2 linked regions of the Mytilus edulis genome follow. Each later gene encodes a partner of the first gene's protein in a complex. Links are inferred from orthologs where the notes say so. Each region holds a gene or a part of one and is shown in the gene's direction. Other genes may lie near its edges.

The links.
Region 2: THO complex subunit 6 homolog (region 1) and THO complex subunit 7 homolog share a complex: the UniProt entries of both Drosophila melanogaster proteins name them as parts of the THO complex. The link is inferred for Mytilus edulis from reciprocal best matches to the Drosophila melanogaster genes thoc6 and thoc7.

Annotation. Positions count from the first base shown.
Region 1 is NC_092349.1:58,725,621-58,736,165, forward strand, and holds the start of THO complex subunit 6 homolog, read left to right. Parts: upstream 1-5,471; 5' UTR 5,472-5,557; coding exon 5,558-5,560; intron 5,561-5,726; exon of another isoform or gene 5,727-5,855; intron 5,856-5,970; exon of another isoform or gene 5,971-6,065; intron 6,066-9,280; coding exon 9,281-9,396; intron 9,397-9,914; coding exon 9,915-9,979; intron 9,980-10,545. Other genes in the region: serine-rich adhesin for platelets-like, read right to left, coding at 4,623-4,636. UniProt on the Drosophila melanogaster protein: The THO complex is required for cell proliferation and for proper export of heat-shock mRNAs under heat stress.
Region 2 is NC_092344.1:46,249,968-46,260,113, forward strand, and holds the start of THO complex subunit 7 homolog, read left to right. Parts: upstream 1-5,614; 5' UTR 5,615-5,629; coding exon 5,630-5,741; intron 5,742-6,191; coding exon 6,192-6,312; intron 6,313-7,890; coding exon 7,891-8,018; intron 8,019-8,844; coding exon 8,845-8,931; intron 8,932-10,146. Other genes in the region: serine-rich adhesin for platelets-like, read right to left, coding at 1,766-1,870, 4,188-4,256, 4,409-4,496. UniProt on the Drosophila melanogaster protein: The THO complex is required for cell proliferation and for proper export of heat-shock mRNAs under heat stress.

The DNA of each region.
Region 1 (10,545 bases):
ATTCACAAATTGGGTTTTTTACCCACCATTTTCTTATATAATTGAGTGATAAAGTTTTTTGATTGCATTATCAATTCCAATTCACCCCTCATGTTAATATCAAATTGGGTTTTTCACCACCAAGCTCCTTATTGTACTGGGTTTTTTCATCAACACAATATTGAATATTTAGGCAATATCAACCCCAGATTTTTTTCCATCTTAAATATGTTTCTTTCTTTGTTTAGCTGTTTTATTTGGTTTATGGTTAGGGTTATTTGCTAGCTGTTTTATTTGGTTTATTCACTGAGGAGCAATTGTAGGTTTAATTTTTGTTCCATTTCAAACCTTCTGCAAGTTTTGTATTTTCTCATATATACTGTATAAAACGGATATGTGTATTCACAGGCACTCATCTTATACCTTTATATAATAAATTCTGAGACCAGTGTAAAATGAAACAAAAAATAGTTTATATTATAAACTCTAATTATACTTGAATGTTTTTGTTTTATTTCAAATTTCATAAATCTGGGTTTAGTTGTCTTTTATTAGAACTTTTGGTTTCTGATGCTTTATCATGTCATAATTGATTTGGCCTCAAGTGTTTGGCCTTTCACTTTTTCCAACTGATTTCTTTTTGAGGAAACCCTGTATTTATTAGCAATGTTCTCGTTAAGGTACGCACACACGCCCGTGTGTTCTACGGCTTCCTAAAAACACTGGCTGAGTCTTGTTATCATCATAACTTTTCCTCAGCTTTTCAAAAGAAGCAGAAAACATGCTTCTATTCAATATTTTAACCGAACATTCACTTTTGTTTTAATTCAATGTATGTTATGATAAATCCCGAGCAATGCGAAAAAAATATGACTACATGACACACACTAATTGGATAGACGTCGAGAAGATCGATATGTTTTCAAAAACACGTGTACCTATTGAGCAACGGCAAACTCTAAAAGGGACCTATTTCAGCTACTTGATGCAGGGATCTATTTTTAGAACGAAAGGAAATTTCCAATTATAAATATTATAAAAAATAAAAATAGTTTACGCTACGACTGTAAACAGATAAGGGTAAACAACGCAAATGGTAGCCAATAAAAGGGTGGAAAACTCATGGTTTTGGAATATAATTGGGTTTTCCTTTGAATTAATTGGGTTATTGAACCCTGCAATGGGCAATTGCATTGGGTTTTTTATTATTTGTATTGCATGATCACGCAAATACGCAGCTTATCTGGAGCTCTGAAGATACAACAAATCGAACAAACCAATGAGTTCAAATGAAGTAAATGTATACATTTATAAGCAACCATACAGCTTTCAACAATGCGAACAACCCATACTAAATGTATCATCCTATATTGTCACTTTGATTCTTGTATATCAGTCATTTCAAAATAAAGTACAAATTCGGAATCTGAACTTTTCCAAAAAAAAAGTTAAAATAAATGCAAATTAATTTAAAAAACCAATAGCATATTGATTTGTTAATATTTTTTCAAAATATGCAATCTTACCAACACCTGAGAAAATTTTATTTTAAAATTGTGTGCAGGCTTGTGTCAGATTTTGTCCATCCTGTTACTATTTTTAACTGATAGCAAAAGTGATAATAGAAAAGAAAATATCCAATGAAAAGTGTGGCTCACATTTGCATAGCAGTGTTCATTTGAAATCACATTTACATTTATCATTTATGTAGATTACCCAAAAAAAATCTGCAGATAGTCGGTACGTTCAGGAAAATCATCACATTTCTTATTTTTCAAACACTCTTAAAAAAATATTGTGGAGACAGTGGCATTGAAAATTTACTAGTATGTCCCTTTTCAATTATACTAACTGGAAACTTAGTCAATAGATCAGTTATGTTGATTGTAAAAATTATTTTACACATTTTTTGGGGTAACAGGAACGAACAAAGACAGTAACAGGGAGGACAAAGTGGTAACAGTAGAGACAAAACATAATTTGGGTCACGAAAATCAATAACAAAAAACTGGATTTTGAATTTCATAGGGATACGAACGGGAGATATAAGTAAATAAACATTATACACGAACCATTTATACGTGTATCAACCCTGTCTGGGTCAAACAAACAAAACAAAACAAAAACAAATGAAAAATTGTTATTGGTGTTTTTTGTTTTTTTCGTTAAGTATGAAGTAAGATTTTGTTGCCGCAAGTCGTAAAAATCAGTACATAAGATGACATGCCTTTCTGTGAACTACCGCTTTTAAGACCAAGTTCAGCATGTTGGTTCTTATTTATTTATCATATTCTCTTCCTGAATATGCCTTTAAGTGTCCACTGGAGGCTAACCAATCAGCAGAACAACCACCCATCGTTCCGTCTTAGAGAAGGTTGAAGATAGGCGTAAAGAGCAAAACTAATTTCATATGTTTAAAAACATAAGGACAATTTAAAGAACACAACAATACAACTGAACGAAAATTCAAATTATTTTTTTTCTTATTGTCAATGATTCTGATATACATGTATCTAGTTTCTGACACATTTTAACACTGAAGGCTTGTCATTCTTGGATTTCTGGATCATCTCGATAAGTTCACGAAGAGGTTCTGATTTTATTTGGATTCGGAATGATAGCCAACATTCTGGAAGTTGTAGCAGCGTCTCTCAATGATTTTGACAAAGAAAAGCACGGAGGCGTCCAAAAAAAAGGGGGGGGGGTATGTCATTATAAAAATTAATAATACACACAGATTTGCCGCTGGTGTGCTTATTTGTATTTGGAATGGCAAATATATCAATGACCTGCAACTTTAAGAAGGCAATAAATCAATGGGTAGAAATTCTTATATCAATTAATGGGTCGACCCATACGTACATGATGTGCACCTACTGTAGACTAAAATTGGTGTTCTAATATTTGTATCTCCTAATATCATCTCATTTAAGTAAGAGAAGGGATTTGCACATAGTTATTTTATGAATAGGGCAGGGGAGTTCAAACCACAATCGGAGGTATAATATACCCACATTTATATGTTGTGCACCCCCCCCTTTTTTTTTGGAATAAAAGACATTCTTTTGTGTCATGAGTGTTGCTGTCGTCTCGCAAGGTCTGTATCTCTATTTGCCTGTAACGAGAAAGTATCATGTCTCTAAGAAACCAGTACAAAAGTTGGCAAAACATTGCACAATTAATAATGTAGTCCATCCTGTTACCAGTCAAGGTAGCACTTGACTTGTTCTAGAAATACCTCAATACAAATGTACATTTTATGAATTAATATACCGTACGGTAATAAATATGCGTAACAATTTATTTGCGATAATGTAAGAGGCATTTTGAGTTTTCTTACACAAAGTATGTCTATCCTGTTACCATTTTTGTCCCTCCTGTTACCAATGTCTTTGTAACAGGAAGGACAGTAACAGGATGGAAAAAATAGTACATAACTTAAATTGGTTTTATAATAGTCGCTCCCTAATAATTGATGTAGTGTTTTTATACTTCCGGCCCATGCCTAAGTTACGGTAACAACCGTTTCATTAGTCTTATGCAATTAAAAATTATCTATCAACTGGTAACATTAAAGACATTATAAAAAGGTACGCATACATCAATACCTACCGATCTTTTGATTCTGATGACCAAAATCTTTCCACATAAAAAATTTCACCATGTCGTTATGTCCTGTATCCACGCCTACGACGTCACCATAAAAAACCGCCGTTATTTGAGGGAGAAACTAGTTTTATTCCGTAAACAAATAAATAGTAACAGGAAGGACACATATTGATGAACAGACATTCCAGTGACTGTGGAATAAAAGTTGTCATGATTTGAAACATGGAAAGTTATTTATTTTTAATTATGATGTTACTAAATGAAGAAAAATCATTCTGTTTACCTTTAAATGCAGTTTTATGTACAGATAATTTGAATGCAAATGTTATTTATCAAAAATGAACGCATGGAAATTGGCGAATTTTCATACTTAAACGAATATAAAAAAAAATATGAAACTTTTTGCACACTAATATTTGCATGTACTATCTTGCACAATATGTAAACTCTTATGTTAAATTGAAAAAATATGTCAAACTTACAAATAAAACAGACAATAGACATTAACCGAAAAATGTACATTTTTTTGAAATGACTGATATCATGTATATGGTGAACTTAAATGTGTACTTTAAAAAAATCTTATCTTTATTTTTGGAGTTGGTAAAACTTCATCAGAGAATTAATATTAAACTATTTATCTATATTTTCATACATCAATCAATGTCACAGTGGCGGATCCAGAACTTTTCATAAAAGGGGGGCAGCTGACTGACCTAAGGCGGGCCTGCTCCAGTCATGCTTCAGTGATTCCTTATATAATCAACCAAATTTTTCCACGAAAAGGGTGGCCCGGGCCCCTTCCCCCTGGATCTGCCTATGAATGACAATATTATATATATTAAAATATCAACTTTTTCTCTGAACATGATCTCTAAAGGACAGGCCATATAGTAGCCTTAAATCTTAGGATTCAGGATTCAATATTACAAATAACTTCTTGTATATAAATGTTCATATGAACATGCTGTTTTATGATGATATTATTGCTTATTCATATCTGAAAACTTCTGTCAAATTATTACGTTCTTTACCCAACAACGGCCATTTTCTAGTCATATGACTTTCACTTTGTATACAAATTTTTATCACGTGATTTTATTCTATTTTGAGAGAAAGTATAATATAATACATATTACTACAATAAGAATTAACTTTACAGTTGATGTCTGTTTCTTTATGTTAAAGAACATGATTTTAATCATTCTAACTCCCGGGATAATATAATTTATTGGTTTTTTTTTTTATTTAATTCCGGATTTTTACCCGATTTCGATTTTTTGTTAGTCACCGGAACTGCGGGAAAACCAAGAATCCGGGTCCGTTCGCCCTGATTCTCGTTCGCCCTGGTATCTGTTCGCCCTGATTCCTGTTCGCCCTGATTCCTGTTCGCCCAGGGTCCATTCGCCCAGGGTCCATTCGCCCTGATTTTTCATTTGTTCTAATTGTTCTAGTTTCCTAATTTTAAGAGTATAATACTAAATGAACTTGTAAACAAACATGTTTCATGATTTACAGTTCGTACATCATTGTTTTTATTAATTTCAAGCTGAATATTTTATCAAAAGTTTTAAACAAAACGTTTGATTTTTATTAATAATCCATCAAAAGACAAGTATCAAAATAATCAGCGATGCGAATTATTTTGTCATTGAACAATTGTAATGATCCTAAACAAGCCATAAACTTTAACATATTTCGCGGTTTCCATAAATTTCAAGAATATATACCATAGAAATATCTGAATAAGTTTATTCAACTTCAATGCCCTCAATATTAATATTTTTTTAGTAGGGCGAACGGACTATATGGGCGAACGAACTCAGGGCGAACATACCCAGGGCGAACATGTTATTAGGGCGAACGGTCCCGATACCGAAAACCAAACGAAAACAAATCAACGTGCAAACTGCCAAAAGTTTACATATTACCAGTTCACTGGCGAATACAAATAGATTCAAAATTGAAAATGGTATAAGTTTCGTATGAAAACTTGAACTTATTTCTAAGCTCTGTTTAAGGGCTAAAAAGATGGGCTTGATATTGAAGTGTTATTTGCCATTTTGGCCGGTCTCGCTGAGCTCTACGGTTACCCCAGGGGTTAATACAAGCTATACTTAGTGTTAGAGTGCCCTTACCTCTCTTCTAGGTGTCAGTCCCAGCTAACCTTGTCAGGTCCCAAATTTCAGGCGCATTGCCTTGCTCGCTTCGCGTAAGAGAGGGATGCACTTGAAGTAGAGGCTGGAAGTACCTATAGTCGCCGTCAGCTGAAATTCGTAGCGGTTATCGGTAAAAATAATCTAAACTATCAATCGCGTTTCACTCGAGATATAGTTTTTCACATTCCATTCATAAATCGCAAAAAGAAAAACCACTACTGACCTACCTTTTAAGTGATCGCACTGTAACAATCCTGACCTTCACTTTTTCATAGACGATTTTGAATGGTGGAATCAGCCATTGTTTTTACCGGAAGTGTTTCCGTGGAGTTCAATTTCATAAAATTTGCATAAAGCGCGGGAAACCTTATCGCATCAATGAAAGGAACATTTCAGGAAACTGCGTACTGTGACGAATGTCATATGTAAACAAATGATCCTCATAGAAACGAAGATGGCGGAATTACAATGGAAAATATTCCCGAAAATGTGAAGGTCAGGATTATTACAGTGTGATCACTTAAAAGGTAGGTCAGTAGTGGTTTTTCTTTTTGCGATTTATGAATGGAATGTGAAAAACTATATCTCGAGTGTACGCGATTGATAGTTTATATTATTTTTACCGATAACCGCTACGAATTTCAGCTGACGGCGACTATAGTCCAAATAATTATGACGTCTTGAAAGGCTATTATAATTTTTTTCTTTGACGCCTTACTTCAACGTCGAAGTAAGGCGTCAAAGAAAAAAATTATAATAGCCTTTTATCATCGGTATAAAGACATCATTCGTAAATATAGCTCAACATGCAGACTTCTAATACGTTCAGGTATTTCACATCCAATTTTTTATGTAAATATTCTTTATAAAGCACAAAGGTGTCAGTATTCACCTCAGAAACTTACAAAACCTTTGAATAGACTTATTAATAAGGGATATAATTACGATCCTGTTGTCAAGTCATTAAAGATTGCATATTTTGGCGTTAATATTGAGTCACTGATAAGGTCTTTGCATCGGAACTAAACACATTTATTCTAAAAACAGTTGTTGGCATGACACGGGTTATGTTCTTCTCATATATGTTATGATGGTATGATACTAAACCCCTAACGGGAAGGATTGTGCCTGATGTTCATATGATGAAATCATAATCTTTCAGTCAGTTTATTTGAAGTCTGGAGCTGGCATGTCAGTTAACTGCTAGTAGTCTGTTGTTATTTATGTATTATTGTCATTTTGTTTATTTTCTTTGGTTACATCTTCTGACATCAGACTCGGACTTCTCTTGAACTGAATTTTAATGTGCGTATTGTTATGCGTTTACTTTTCTACATTGGTTAGAGGTATAGGGGGAGGGTTGAGATCTCACAAACATGTTTAACCCCGCCGCATTTTTGTGCCTGTCCCAAGTCAGGAGCCTCTGGCCTTTGTTAGTCTTGTATTATTTTAATTTTAGATTCTTGTGTACAATTTGGAAATTAGTGTGGCGTTCATTATCACTGGACTAGTATATATTTATTTAGGGGCCAGCTGAAGGACGCCTCCGGGTGCGGGAATTTCTTGCTACATTGAAGACCTGTTGGTGACCTTCTGCTGTTGTTTTTTATTTGGTCGGGTTGTTGTTTCTTTGACACATTCCCCATTTCCATTCTCAATTTTATTTTAAGACGTCATAATTATTTAGACTAGGAAGTACCCAACTGTTACCCTTGCGTCATGTGTCCCTTTCAGATCCCTCGGTGATGTACCAGTACCCTTGTTACATGTTGGGGAAACCCCCTAGAACTACGGGCCAATTACACTACTGTATATTTTTTTTATTTTTATCAAAGAAATCTAACAAAAACATTTCATATACAATAATACAAATGATTGATTGATTTTACTCTGATCTCCAACGGCTGTTTTGCCTTACCTGCTATTCCCATATCAGTAATTAGATATTTTCCCATCCAATATAGATGAGCTGCTTGGATGCTTCTGAAGTTCTGTCGCCGACAGACTGCCTTTGGTCCATATAAATCAGATCTCAATTTGATAATTTTTCATTTATCTTTTCATTTATATTAGTTTCATCTTCCTGCCACCCTTTATTTTCTCATATTTGGACAGTTTTCACAGTGACCCAACGATTCCAGGATTATCATTATCACACACTATCATTTTCTATGTGCAAAGAAACGTAAAATTGGGGTCAAAACTTTAATTTGGCAAACAAATTAAAAAGATCATATCATAGGGAATGTATACATCCTAAGTTTCAAGTTGACAAAATTTTCCTTGACCAAAAACTTTAACTTGAAGGTTGAAGGATAGGCAGACTTACTTAAATAAGTGATTTTCTAAATCACTGATTCAAGTAACATTATTTCCATAAAGGTTGGAAGTTAGAGTTGTCTTTCTTTAATAATCACCTATTTAAGAAGTAAAAATTAATCACTAGAAGAAGTGATATAATTTTATTGTAGCTTTAAATATAGAATACTAATGATCCAGGGACTAATTATGTTTCTAAACTTATCAGAACCAACATCTGTGTTGTCTAGGATGACTAGGTCATTTCAGGTGATGACCTTGTACTGAATCTAGGATAATGACATAAAAATCACTTGTTTAAGTATCAGACCTCAATTTCCTTCCCAAAAATCACTTCTTTAAGTATCATTCTTTTAATAACCCCCATTAATTTCAACACCCCCGAACAGTGAAATTTTTATCACGAACAGTAGAATTTTATTACATAATCTGAAAGATGAAACCTTGAACTTCACAGGAAAAATACTCCCACTGCTGGGAAAAATCTTTGAAGAAAGTATCAGTTCATAATGTAAAGCCATTATTATAGCATTTTTTCAACTAAAATAGAATTTTCAGCTAAATTTTAGCATCGAAGGCATAAACCTTGCTACTTAAAAGAAGCAAAAAGTTCATTTTTTTTTAATTTTACTAATTAAAAGATATTATTTAAACCTATGTGTTTAAAATTTTGAAAAAACTACAAAATTCCAATTTGTGACAAAACCTCGAATTTGCTACTCATTTCAGTAAGTCCCTTGACTTGATAATGCCCCTAAGTAGGGCATAAAAAGTAACTACAACATGTATTCAATACTATAAGATTATGTGAAGTCAGTGATTTAAAGGAAAAATATGCATTGATCTTTGTCAGTCATTTGCAACCTTAAAGTACCATACAACCATTAGTAGAAATGGACTTGGAGGCTCAAAGACTTACACATTTTTACATAACAAAATAAGTACACTGATATTCCTTACTTTTAGGTAGGCAATTTTATCTACCCCAAGTATAGATTGCCATAGCTGTATTTGACTAAACTTTTCACAATTATTGGTTTTTAAAGCTCTAAAACTTTGTATTTTACTTTAAAAATAACTTTACTCTCCAATTGTTTTTATGGAGCGTTGCTGGTGATCATAAATCTCATCATCTGCCGTACAATTTTATAAGCCTTGTTTGTTTAGGTTTGATGATTTTTTATTAACAATCAACAATGCTTTTGTCTTTGCAGGACAGAGATTTAGCAGCACGTAGACAACTACACACGACAATATTTGATCATTGTTACTCGCCATGTGGAAAGTACATTGCAGCTGCTAATAACTACGGACAGATTGCTGTTTTCAGGTGTAGTAACAGTTATTTTTAATTAAGTGTAGACTACATGGTTTAAAAAAGGAATGTTGTTCCAGGGTTCTCATTCATAAAGCTTTTTTCATTACTTCTAGTACAAAATTTGTGCTTTAAACATATGATTCATTATTTTGATTGGTAGAAGCCTGAGTATGATAATTACTCAAAACTTTTATGACCACATGGACAGATCTAATGTCATGAGTGTATCATATTCATTATGATTATAGCTTTATTAGAACAGCATCCTTACAAACATGACAAAACTTGATTTTAAAACAGTTTTCAAGGAAATTGTAAAAAGGTTCAACCATGAGACTTGATTTTAACTTCTTTGATATTTTTAATCCCAAATGACATTGCTTTAAATTTATGGATATTCAGATATACACTTTCCATACTTTTGATACTTTTACTTGGAATGATTTAAATTATTCAAAAGCTGCAATGTCAATATACTTTTTGTAGTTTGTAAAGAAAGAGTATTTTTTTTATCCATCATTATTTTACAGTTTGTCAGCAGCTTTAGCACCAGAAGCTTCAGAAGCTACATGGAAACCAGTCTTTATATTTGAAGGTAAGAAACCAGAAAAAAGGGGGATCAGTCTTTATGACCTACACATGACCTAAAAAGGATGAAAAACATCTGAAAACCAATTATTATATATACTGTATAATTAATACCAAACAGGACAACAATAAGAATTGTACTTGAAGATTTTGAAGTATAACAAAAAATGGTTATAAAGAGTTTGGAAATACTAAAAACTTCATGGAAACCAGTCTTAGTGTTGGACCAAAAAAATCAATCAATGTTGTAGATACTACATGTTATAAACATTTAACAAATGTAAGTATTTTAAATGAAGAATTGAAGGTTAGAAATAAAATTGATATGGGATGTCATAAGATATCATTTAAACAACTTACAATACACCTTTTTAGCTCACCTGGCCCGAAGGGCCAAGTGAGCTTTTCCCATCACTTTGCGTCCGTCGTCCGTCGTCGTTAACTTTTACAAAAATCTTCTCCTCTGAAACAACTGGGCCAAGTTAAACCAAACTTGGCCACAATCATCATTGGGTATCTAGTTTAAAAAATGTGTCCGGTGACCCAGCCAACCAACCAAGATGGCTGCCATGG
Region 2 (10,146 bases), on another chromosome or scaffold:
ACTTTTTAATGTCTAGTTTACATGTAAATACTAAATTTTGTATTCTTAATTGCATCCTTAAACTTGTTTCTGTTGAAAAATTCAGTCAAACCTAGGGTTGCAAGGTATTATCTGTAATGAGCCAAAGTATTTTCTGACATTATTTTCATAATTTATGTTCATTGGCATCATATTGAAAACTGGGCCTAAAATCAAACATCAAAGTACATGCTTAGATTCAGCATATCAAAGAACCCCTAAATTAAATTTTTGTTGAAATCAAACAAAGTTTAATTTTGGACCCCGATTTGGACCAACTTGAAAACTGGGCCAATAATCAAAAATCTTAGTACATGTTTAGATTCAGCATATCAAAGAACCCCAAGGATTCAATTTTTGTTAAAATCAAACTTAGTTTAATTTTGGACCCTTAGGACCTTAATGTAGACCAATTTGAAAACGGGACCAAAAATTAAGAATCTACATACACAGTTAGATTCGGCATATCAAAGAACCCCAATTATTCAATTTTTAATGAAATCAAACAAAGTTTAATTTTGGATCCTTTGGGCCCATTATTCCTAAAGTGTTGGGACCAAAACTCTAAAAAAAATGCCTACCTTCCTTTTATGGTCATTAACCTTGTGTTTAAATTTCATTGATTTCTATTTACTTATACTAAAGTTATGGTGCGAAAACCAAGAAAAATGCTTATTTGGGCCCCTTTTTCCTAAACTGTTGGGACCTCAACTCCCAAAATCAATCCCAACCTTTCTTTTGTGTTCATAAACCTTGCGTTTAAATTTTATTGATTTCTATTTACTTATACTTAAGTTATAGTGCGAAAACCAAGAATAATGCTTTTTTTGGCCCCTTTTTGGCCCCTAATTCCTAAACTGATGGGACCAAAACTCCCAAAATCAATCCCAACCTTCCTTTTGAGGTCATAAACCTCGTGTCAAAATTTCATACATTTCTATTTACTTGAACTAAAGTTATAGTGCGAAAACCAAGAAAATGCTTATTTGGGCCCCTTTTGGCCCCCAATTCCTAAACTGTTGGGACCAAAACTCCCAAAATCAATCCCAACCTTCCTTTCATGGTCATAAACCTTGTGTTTAAATTTCATAGATTTCTATTTACTTATACTAAAGTTATAGTGCGAAAACCAAATGTCTTCGGACGAAGAAGACGCCAACATGATGCCAATATACGACGAAATTTTTTTCAATTTTTGCGGTAGTATAAAAACATAATGCTTATAAATGGGACATAAAAAAATAAGGTCAAGGGCAATGGACATATGACATACAGAACATTTGAAACAATTGTATACATTTAAGAAAGTTTCAGGTCTGCTACCTCTTTATATATATAGCTTTGTAAGATAGTTTCAGAGTTGTTACAAAGTAATCATTTCTATAGCTTGCATACTGTGAATTTTATATCAGGCAAGACAAAACCGATCTGCAGATTTTTCTTTAAAATTTTTATGCATTTCGTACATACATGTAAGTTGAAAGAAGATTTTGACCATGATGTTTAATGTATTTTTTTTTATTGTACTCTACATGCTCTGGTTAAGGTGAATAAGCATGTCAAGTTTCATGCTTGAACTCTCTAAATTGAAAATCGTAAAGATTCATTACTGATTTATTGGTTATTTTGCTTGATGCTTGGAATCATCTAAATGACATGTATTGTGATGGTGGTCTTGAAAGGCTCAAAGGTTAACCAGTCAATCAACTTTTAATAACCAATTGATATGATGGTGATCTTTACTTACGTAGATGTATGTTAAGCGCTTGTGGCTTTAATACTTTATTACACTTCTCGCACTGGACAAGAAAAAACTCATCTTGAGAAGGACACACTCCAAACAATGCACTATCTGTTAGAAAGAAAACAAAACTATATTACTTTATAACTTTATAATTACATTAGATGTATGTTTCATTATAATATTTTATTCTGATTGGCTAACTGCACATCACGTGTTATTCCGTAAGCAGTTGCATTGCTCAATACATCTTTTCACTCATGATAACACGTGCTCCAACAATAAAGTGCACAGGTGAATTAAATAATAAAATATATAAAATTTGTGTTTTCATGATCATAGCTAAAAAATGTAATTATAAGTATTGAATGCTTCTTTTTGTAACATTATAGGGTTGTAAAAGCGTTGACCGTGCGTACATTTTTAGAATGAAGCGCTTCTGCGCTTCATACAAAATGTACTTCGGTCAACGCTTTTACACCCCAATAAATTTACAAAAAGAAGCATTCAATTCTTAAATACAATGTACTGGACGGATAAAAATTGTCTTGTAGTTTACACACTCCATTAACCAAACAATGCACTATCTGTAAGAAAGAAGAAAAACTATATTACTTTATAACTTTATACAATGCACTGGACAGATAAAAATTGTCTTGTAGTTTACACACTCCATTGACCAAACAATGCACTATCTGTTAGAAAGAAAACAAAACTATATTACTTAATAACTTTATACAATGCACTGGACAGATAAAAAATTTCTTGTAGTTTACACTCCATTGACCAAACAATGCACTATCTGTAAGAAAGAAGAGGATAAGATATTCCATTGACCAAACAATGCACTCTGTGACGTGTCAAAAAAATAAATTATACAAATTTCTTCATAACTTTGTACAATAACAAAAAAAAATTAAAATTTAGTTTCAATTGGTAATTAATTTTCAATAAATGATCCACAAGACAAGATATAAAAAAAAAATATCTGTTTCTTCCTCCAACTATATTTTAGACATCCAACCCTAATACATTCTTATGTCTTACCAAATTTTATATCAGGAAATAAGAGCTTTGAATTGTAAGTCGACTACAAAAACTTAATTCTGCTGACTTGTTGAGATATTTAGAGGATAATAATTAAGTAAAAAGATTGACAAAACAATTGAATCTGAAAGATTAAGAAGCATTTGGATGTGTACTGTAAATTTCGATTGGAGACCAGTTTAGATAAAACAGGTGATTTTTCTCAAATTATGCTGATAATGAAACAAATAAAAAAGAAAAAGCATTTCCATTGATTTAAAAGTGATTTACTTCAGTTTTGTATTTTTCTTATCAAATTAATTTTGTATACTAGATCCATTGTTCATGCAGTATTAATGGAGTGTGTGATGTTTGAGTACCAAAAATAACACAATTTCTGCTTTAGCTTTTGAAAGATCTTGTAAGCTCAGCATCTACAAGGAATTTAAGGTTCATCATAAGGAATTGAAAAATATGGCCGTGTTTACACCTCCAAAATTACTATGAGTACAGACAAACTGGTACATCCAGGAAAATTTTAAGGCATGGCAGGAACTAGATATATAAAAGTTATATGAAGTCTACGTTTCAGAAAATTATAAACTTACCTGGATTTTGATGTTCATTTTTTTCCAGTCTGCAGAAGATAGCAAAATAAACAAACACCCGAGTTTCGTTTGATACGGTCCACTCAGTTACACAGTTTAAACCTGTTAAATCACCTATTGTTTACAGGTGTCTATTGTCCATCTATTGTCCATTTAAATCAATACTACTCACAACATTGATTATATGAGGGGAGCTTCTCAATCGTTTTCACTACTTAGTTAATTTTTGCACCTTCTGCAGGAACGAAAAAAAATGGATAGCAAAATCTAGAAAAGTTTATAATTTTCTGAAACATAAAATGCATTTAAAATTTATATATCTAGTTCCTGCCATCCCTTAAAACTGTTGCAGGTGTATAGGTTAGTCTGTACTCAGAGTAAAATTTGGGGTATAAATACGGCCATTTTAGCCAAAAGGTTATGATGAACCTTAAGAGCAACAGGTATAGATATCAATGGTGAATATATTACTCAGAAACAATAAGATAACATGGTCATAAACAGGCTTCAAAAATAAGAGTCAAAACCATTTGTCATTTTAAATGACAAATGATTTTGACTCTTATTTTTGAAGCCTGATTTTTGATGAATCATTTTTATGCTAGGTTGTAACCAATGTAGAGTGAACATTTAAAACTTGATTTGTCATATTTTTTGTTTATTGTTCTCTTTTTAAAAAAAAATGGTATTGAACTTCATGTAAAAGATTTATACGCTATTCTCCATGTCAAACTACATTCAAATCAATGTGTATAAAATAAGTTCAACTTATCTTTTGTTACCAATGCTATTACCTTCAACATTCAGTTTCATACTATCACTGTCGTCTGTAGCTTTAGATTCAGAGCTTTCACCACCTGAATCTGAAAATATATAAGAATTTATTTTGACATTTGTCAGGGAAATTTTGAAAGTAGAAACGACACTGGTTATGGAAAAGTTTTGAACATTCAGAAATTTGTAATAGCTTTTGGACAATACATGAATCATTTAAACGATGATATTCTATTCTCACCACTATATGGTGGGGAAGGCACAGTATTGGCCCATTCGGACCATGGTTGACCCGCAAAATGCGACGGACTACTGTCCAGGGTCGCCATTTTGCAGTTTTTCTTGTTGCTTTCTGCCAGTCCGACTATCACCGATGTTTTGTGACGTCAAAGATCGGGAAACTCCGTCGTTGGTCTTGGTCTTCCGCTTACGCCAACGAAAATATAGTTTGTTAAATGATGATTTTAACAATTCAAAAGTTCCTATTTTTTTACGAAGATCGAAAAATAACTCCAAATTAAAATATGAAATATAGAAATTAACAAATTAAACGAAAATGTGCCACAAATTTTTTGTATTTTATTCAAATTTGATGCTACAAGCGACGAAAATGGCAGTGAGTGATGGTTAGTCTTCTCGTGCTGCATGCTTTTCATGTTTTATAATGTTTATGAAATTAGATTGATTGATTGACTTAAATGTGTTCAATGCTAGATAGAACATAGATCCAAATTTAATATAATTCCCTCAACTAAGGATTATGTGGCCCATTTTCGAATCTTTTTTTATTTTCTGAAACACAATTTCTCAAAATGCAAATTTTTTTAAGTTATTTTATTTGAAACGAGTCGTTTCGGCCAAGCCAATGGAGCCGGTTCGGCCTTTGTTGATTCAGCTATATAATAATAGTCGTTTCATCCATTCTTCAATTATATATTAAAAGATGATTTGTTGTATTTGCTTTGGGAACAAACCCTCTATCTATGGTGTTTATACCTTTATAGAGGGTTAATCCTTCTGTATTTTTGTTAAGACTGGATTTTAAGCAAAATAGGGCAGATTAGCATTTTCTAGTTATATTGGCTATAATATAAAGCATTATATGCATCAGTTATTGCACTTTACTAAAATTGGGATGCCCAGATTTCTGCCGACAGAACTTGAAATTTACATGTATTTTATACCTATCTCACTGTACAATAGATTGTATATATACAGTCAGTTTAGCAGTAAACTGGGTATGTGCATATTAAACTAAGTACATCAATTGTTGCAGGTTACTGTCATAATAAGTAGAGACTGCCAATATACCCTATTTTGCTTTAAAACCAATCTTAACAAAAATATCCCTCTATAAAGGTATAAACACCATATAGATTATAGAGGGTTTCACCGTTTGTTCCCAACCTGATATATACCTTTTATATAAAATTTGGAATTTTTTGAAACACAATTTCTCAAAATGCATAATTTTCCTGAAAAAAAGTTGTTTAGGCCATGCCAATGGAACAGGATTGGCCTATGTCGATTTGCCTATGTAGTAATAGTCATTTCAACCATACTTCATAAATCATGTACTTCAACTATATATATATTAAAAGATATTTTGTTGTATTTGCTTTCATTTATATGCCTTTTATATATCGTAACTCTAAAAAAATTTTAACTAAATTGCACTTAAATGGTAATGATGTGCACAAAATGACATAAGCAAAGGCCAAGGGATATGGTTACGGTCTTGTTTTGAAATGATTAAATTGAATTATAAGTTGATTGGATTATTATGATACACACCCCTTGTCAATCACTTTGACACTTATTTTATTACTTAACTAATCCAATTATCTAATTAAATATACAAATGTATCTGTGTGTAATCAATTATCTTGAGTAATATAATAATTAAAATAGATGTATTCATGTATTCTCAAATCCAGTTCAATTTTATTTAGTCAAATACAGAAATCAAACCATAAACTAATTATGCTAATAGTAAATTATTAAACTAAAAACATTTTTTATAGATGATATTTTTCGGAGGAGGTTATTAATAGAAGGTGATGGAGGTGGTGACGATAAGAGAATTGCCAGCTTATTGAAAACATTTTTCCATTGGGCAAGTGAATCAGAGACCAAGGAAGAAAAGTAATCTATAGTTTTTGTAAACTAGCTTAATTTTTTTTTTTAGATTTTCATTGATACAGCTTTGTCTAATGTCCTAATATGTTTGAGAACTTATTAAATTGTATTTAGTAAATGCAATAATCAATAAATATCATAGTCATGATAGTTTTAACATGGAGCAGGAATTTTCCAACATGTTGAAAATTTCCAAATTTACAATTGTATGACAAGTTAATGCCACCTTGAAAATACAGTTTATCAAGATTTTGAACACCTACCCCTGTGCCCCAATAGGATGACATGCAATGTAACATGCACAACTTGTGGCAATGTGGTACATGTATGCAGTATGTTTGTGAGTAAGAACAGCCCCTGTATACTAAAACTGAGAATGGAAATGAAGAAAGTGTCAAAGAGACAAAAACCACACCAATGAGCAGAAAACATAAATGTGCATGAATGGCCATGATACACAGAGTTACCATAATCATAAGTCAGTGCTTTTTCTCACACCTTTTTGTTTATTTATGGTATTAGATTTGTAGAAAGAGAGATTTAAGATACTAAAGATAGCCAAAAATCAATGACAAGACATACATACTGCATTAAAGATTCATTTTACAAAATACTGAAGCAACACAAAGACGTAGAAAAAATCTGGGGTGTTTTTTTGAAGAAGTATACAGAAAATGAAATTTTGCACCATTTTTTGCCAAATGATATTCACTTTGTATGACAATATGGATTTCTGACAATGAGTTATATGCTTGTAATTAATATAATGTACCTTGGCTGTAATTAATAGATATCTCTGCTTTTGCAGTCTGAGAAAAATGTTAAATCAAATTGTAGTTTTGAGCAAATTACCAAACTGGTCGATTGGAAAAATACAACAGTATTAGTAGCACATGTGGCCTGTGTTATATGAATTTATATTTATAAACATGATAAAAAGATACTTCTGTTTGACTCTGTTCTGTAATGAATGATCATGAATCATGAATGACTTAATTTATATCAAATGTTTTTTTTTTTCAAATTGAAAAAAAACCAAAATATATAATGTAAGAATAATACATTGTATTTATATTTTTATGCCCCACCTACGATAGTAGAGTGGCATTATGTTTTCTGGTCTATGCCTCCGTTCGTCCGTCCGATTCAGGTTAAAGTTTTTGGTCAAGGTAGTTTTTGAAGAAGTTGAAGTCCAATCAACTTGAAACTTAGTACACTTGTTCCCCATGATATGATCTTTCTAATTTTAATTCCAAATTAAAGTTTTGACCCCAATTTCACGGTCCACTGAACATAGAAAATGATAGTGCGAGTGGGGCATTCGTGTACTATGGACACATTCTTGTTTATTATGTTTTCTGATTTTTTACAAAGATGAAGTGTTGGCAACTGGTTTTTTTTACAGTTGCTCCCAATCTTTTTATTAAATTTATTTTACCTTTATGTGAAAGCTGATTGGGGAGATGTACAAAACTACAAATGTATAAGTTCTTACAAATAACAAATACCCAATTTGTACAAGTTCTTACAAATAACAAATACCCGAACTATTTTCTTTTAATGAAATACATGTTCCTTTTTCAGTCATGCCCAGTATGAGAGAATGATGAAAGACCTAGCTCTGTGTGACTGTGCTGCAGGAAAATGTTTGAATGTTTTCAAGATGAATTTGAAGGAGCAATCAAATTATGAAAAATTAAGTAAAGAAATTGGTAAGATATAGAAATAGTAAAGAAACATGGTGGGATGGTGACAAGGTTACACAAGTTTTCAATTTGTATTTAAAACAAATCTGTATCAGAATCCTAAAATGAAAACAATAATAATAGTGCAATTGTAGCTGCATATATAATATAGATATTGTCTATTAGACATACAACAACTTATAGTACAGTGTAAGATGGGATGATTCTATACCCGAAGAATAAGTACTTAAAATAAGATTTCTGTAACTATTAGCATTTTGTTATTACCTTAATAAAGAATTGTTGTTATGTTATATTTTTTTTTATGCCCCATTTATTTTGCCCAATATGTTTTCTGGTCTGTGCGTCCATTTGTCTGTTCATTCGTCCGTTTGTCTGTTCTGCTTCAGGTTCAAGTTTTTGGTCAAGGTAGTTTTTGATGAAGTTGAAGTCCAATCAAATTGAAACTTAGTATACATGTTCCTTGTGATATGATCTTTCTAATTTTAATGCCAAATTAGAGTTCTGACCCCAATTTCACGGTCCACTAAACATAAAAAATGATAGTGTGAGTGGGGCATCCGTGTACTGGGGACACATTCTTGTTTGTAATGTTCATTTCACTCTTATTATGAGTAATAGGATACAATGTAACTACATTTGGTATGTGCGTACCTTGCAAGGTCCACTTGCCTGTCGGACAGTTTTCACTTGACCTTTCTTCTATTGATGTTAATTGAATAGAAAACATGCCCTAGTTCCCATTTAAAAAAAAAATTTTTTAATTAGCACAAAAGATTAGGTGATCTGCTGGAAAATACATGAAATGGGCTCTGTACACTTTTTTTTTCAGAACAAAAAATAAGTGAGGCTACAGAAAAGATTTCAGAGTGTAAAAATGAATTACAGCAAGCAAAACGAATTAGGAAAAACAGACAAGGTATGTTTTCATTTCAAATTCAGGTTTTATAAGTGTATGACAAGCACTTGCCTACAATTTGTGATAACTCTGCAACATCATTACATATCTGTTTGCTGATTACAATTGGTGTGCTATTGATGCATGTACAAGTACACCATATCTTTAGGTTTCTATACATTACTTTTTTTATCATATTGATAATAAAGGCCAAGCTTGCATTAGATATGATTTCCAAAGAATCTTTTGAAGTAGAAGCAATTTAGTCCAAATACTGGCACAGATTTAAAAGGTTCTTTCCATGATCTTAAGTATTTCCTAACAATACTACAGTTAAAAGATGTATAAAAAATAACATAAAATGTAATAACAACAAATTTTACATTTGTTGATAAAAGAAACATACCATTTTTGTAAATTTACTTCAACTTTAAGTATAATTAGAGTTGAAAAGACGTGTGCACCCAAGAAACCATTTTGAATTTGTTGAGAGTATGTATAATAGCTATATTAAAACCTCTCTCAAATTATTTTGTTATTTCTTGGCTGCATAGAAGGTTATAACAAGTCTATGGCTTCCATGAATTATTTCGATTCTAATAGGACAAATATGGTCATTAAAAAAACTGAAGTGAGGGTGGGTTTGCCGTGTGTGTGGCTGTTCTGTTTAACTCCTGGTTGGATAAAGCTGAAACATTCTAATCAGTAGCTTGCATGTGCTTAATTCTGTTCATTCTCAAACCCAACATTTGCCATTTTTAATTTACATGTTTATCTCATCAGCTACTGTCAAATACAAAGTTGACATTTTGTAACTAAAGAGCCGCCATGTTGACTTGCTGAAATAAGTAAATATGCAAATAATGCGATAGAATAGATAAAAAACAACACCTACCTCAAAAATCCATTTTAATGTATTATATGACATGTATGAATTTCCATGATTCATGTAATGGAAAAATACAGTAAAAATCTTCAGCTTGAGTGTTTTCATTTGTATGACGTCATGTTTTGAAATGAATTTATTGCGCTAAAACTAAAAGCATTAATGGACTTTCACTGATTTTTATTTTCATTGTTGATTCCTCCGAGCTCTTGTGCATTATTGTGATGCATTGGAATAAGAATAACAGTTCTGAAGTCTTTTTTTCAATTGCAATTTTTAAAACAATAAAATCGGCATAGTGTTTGCAAATAGGTTCCAATACATGTGGATTTATGTGGGATGGATATTAT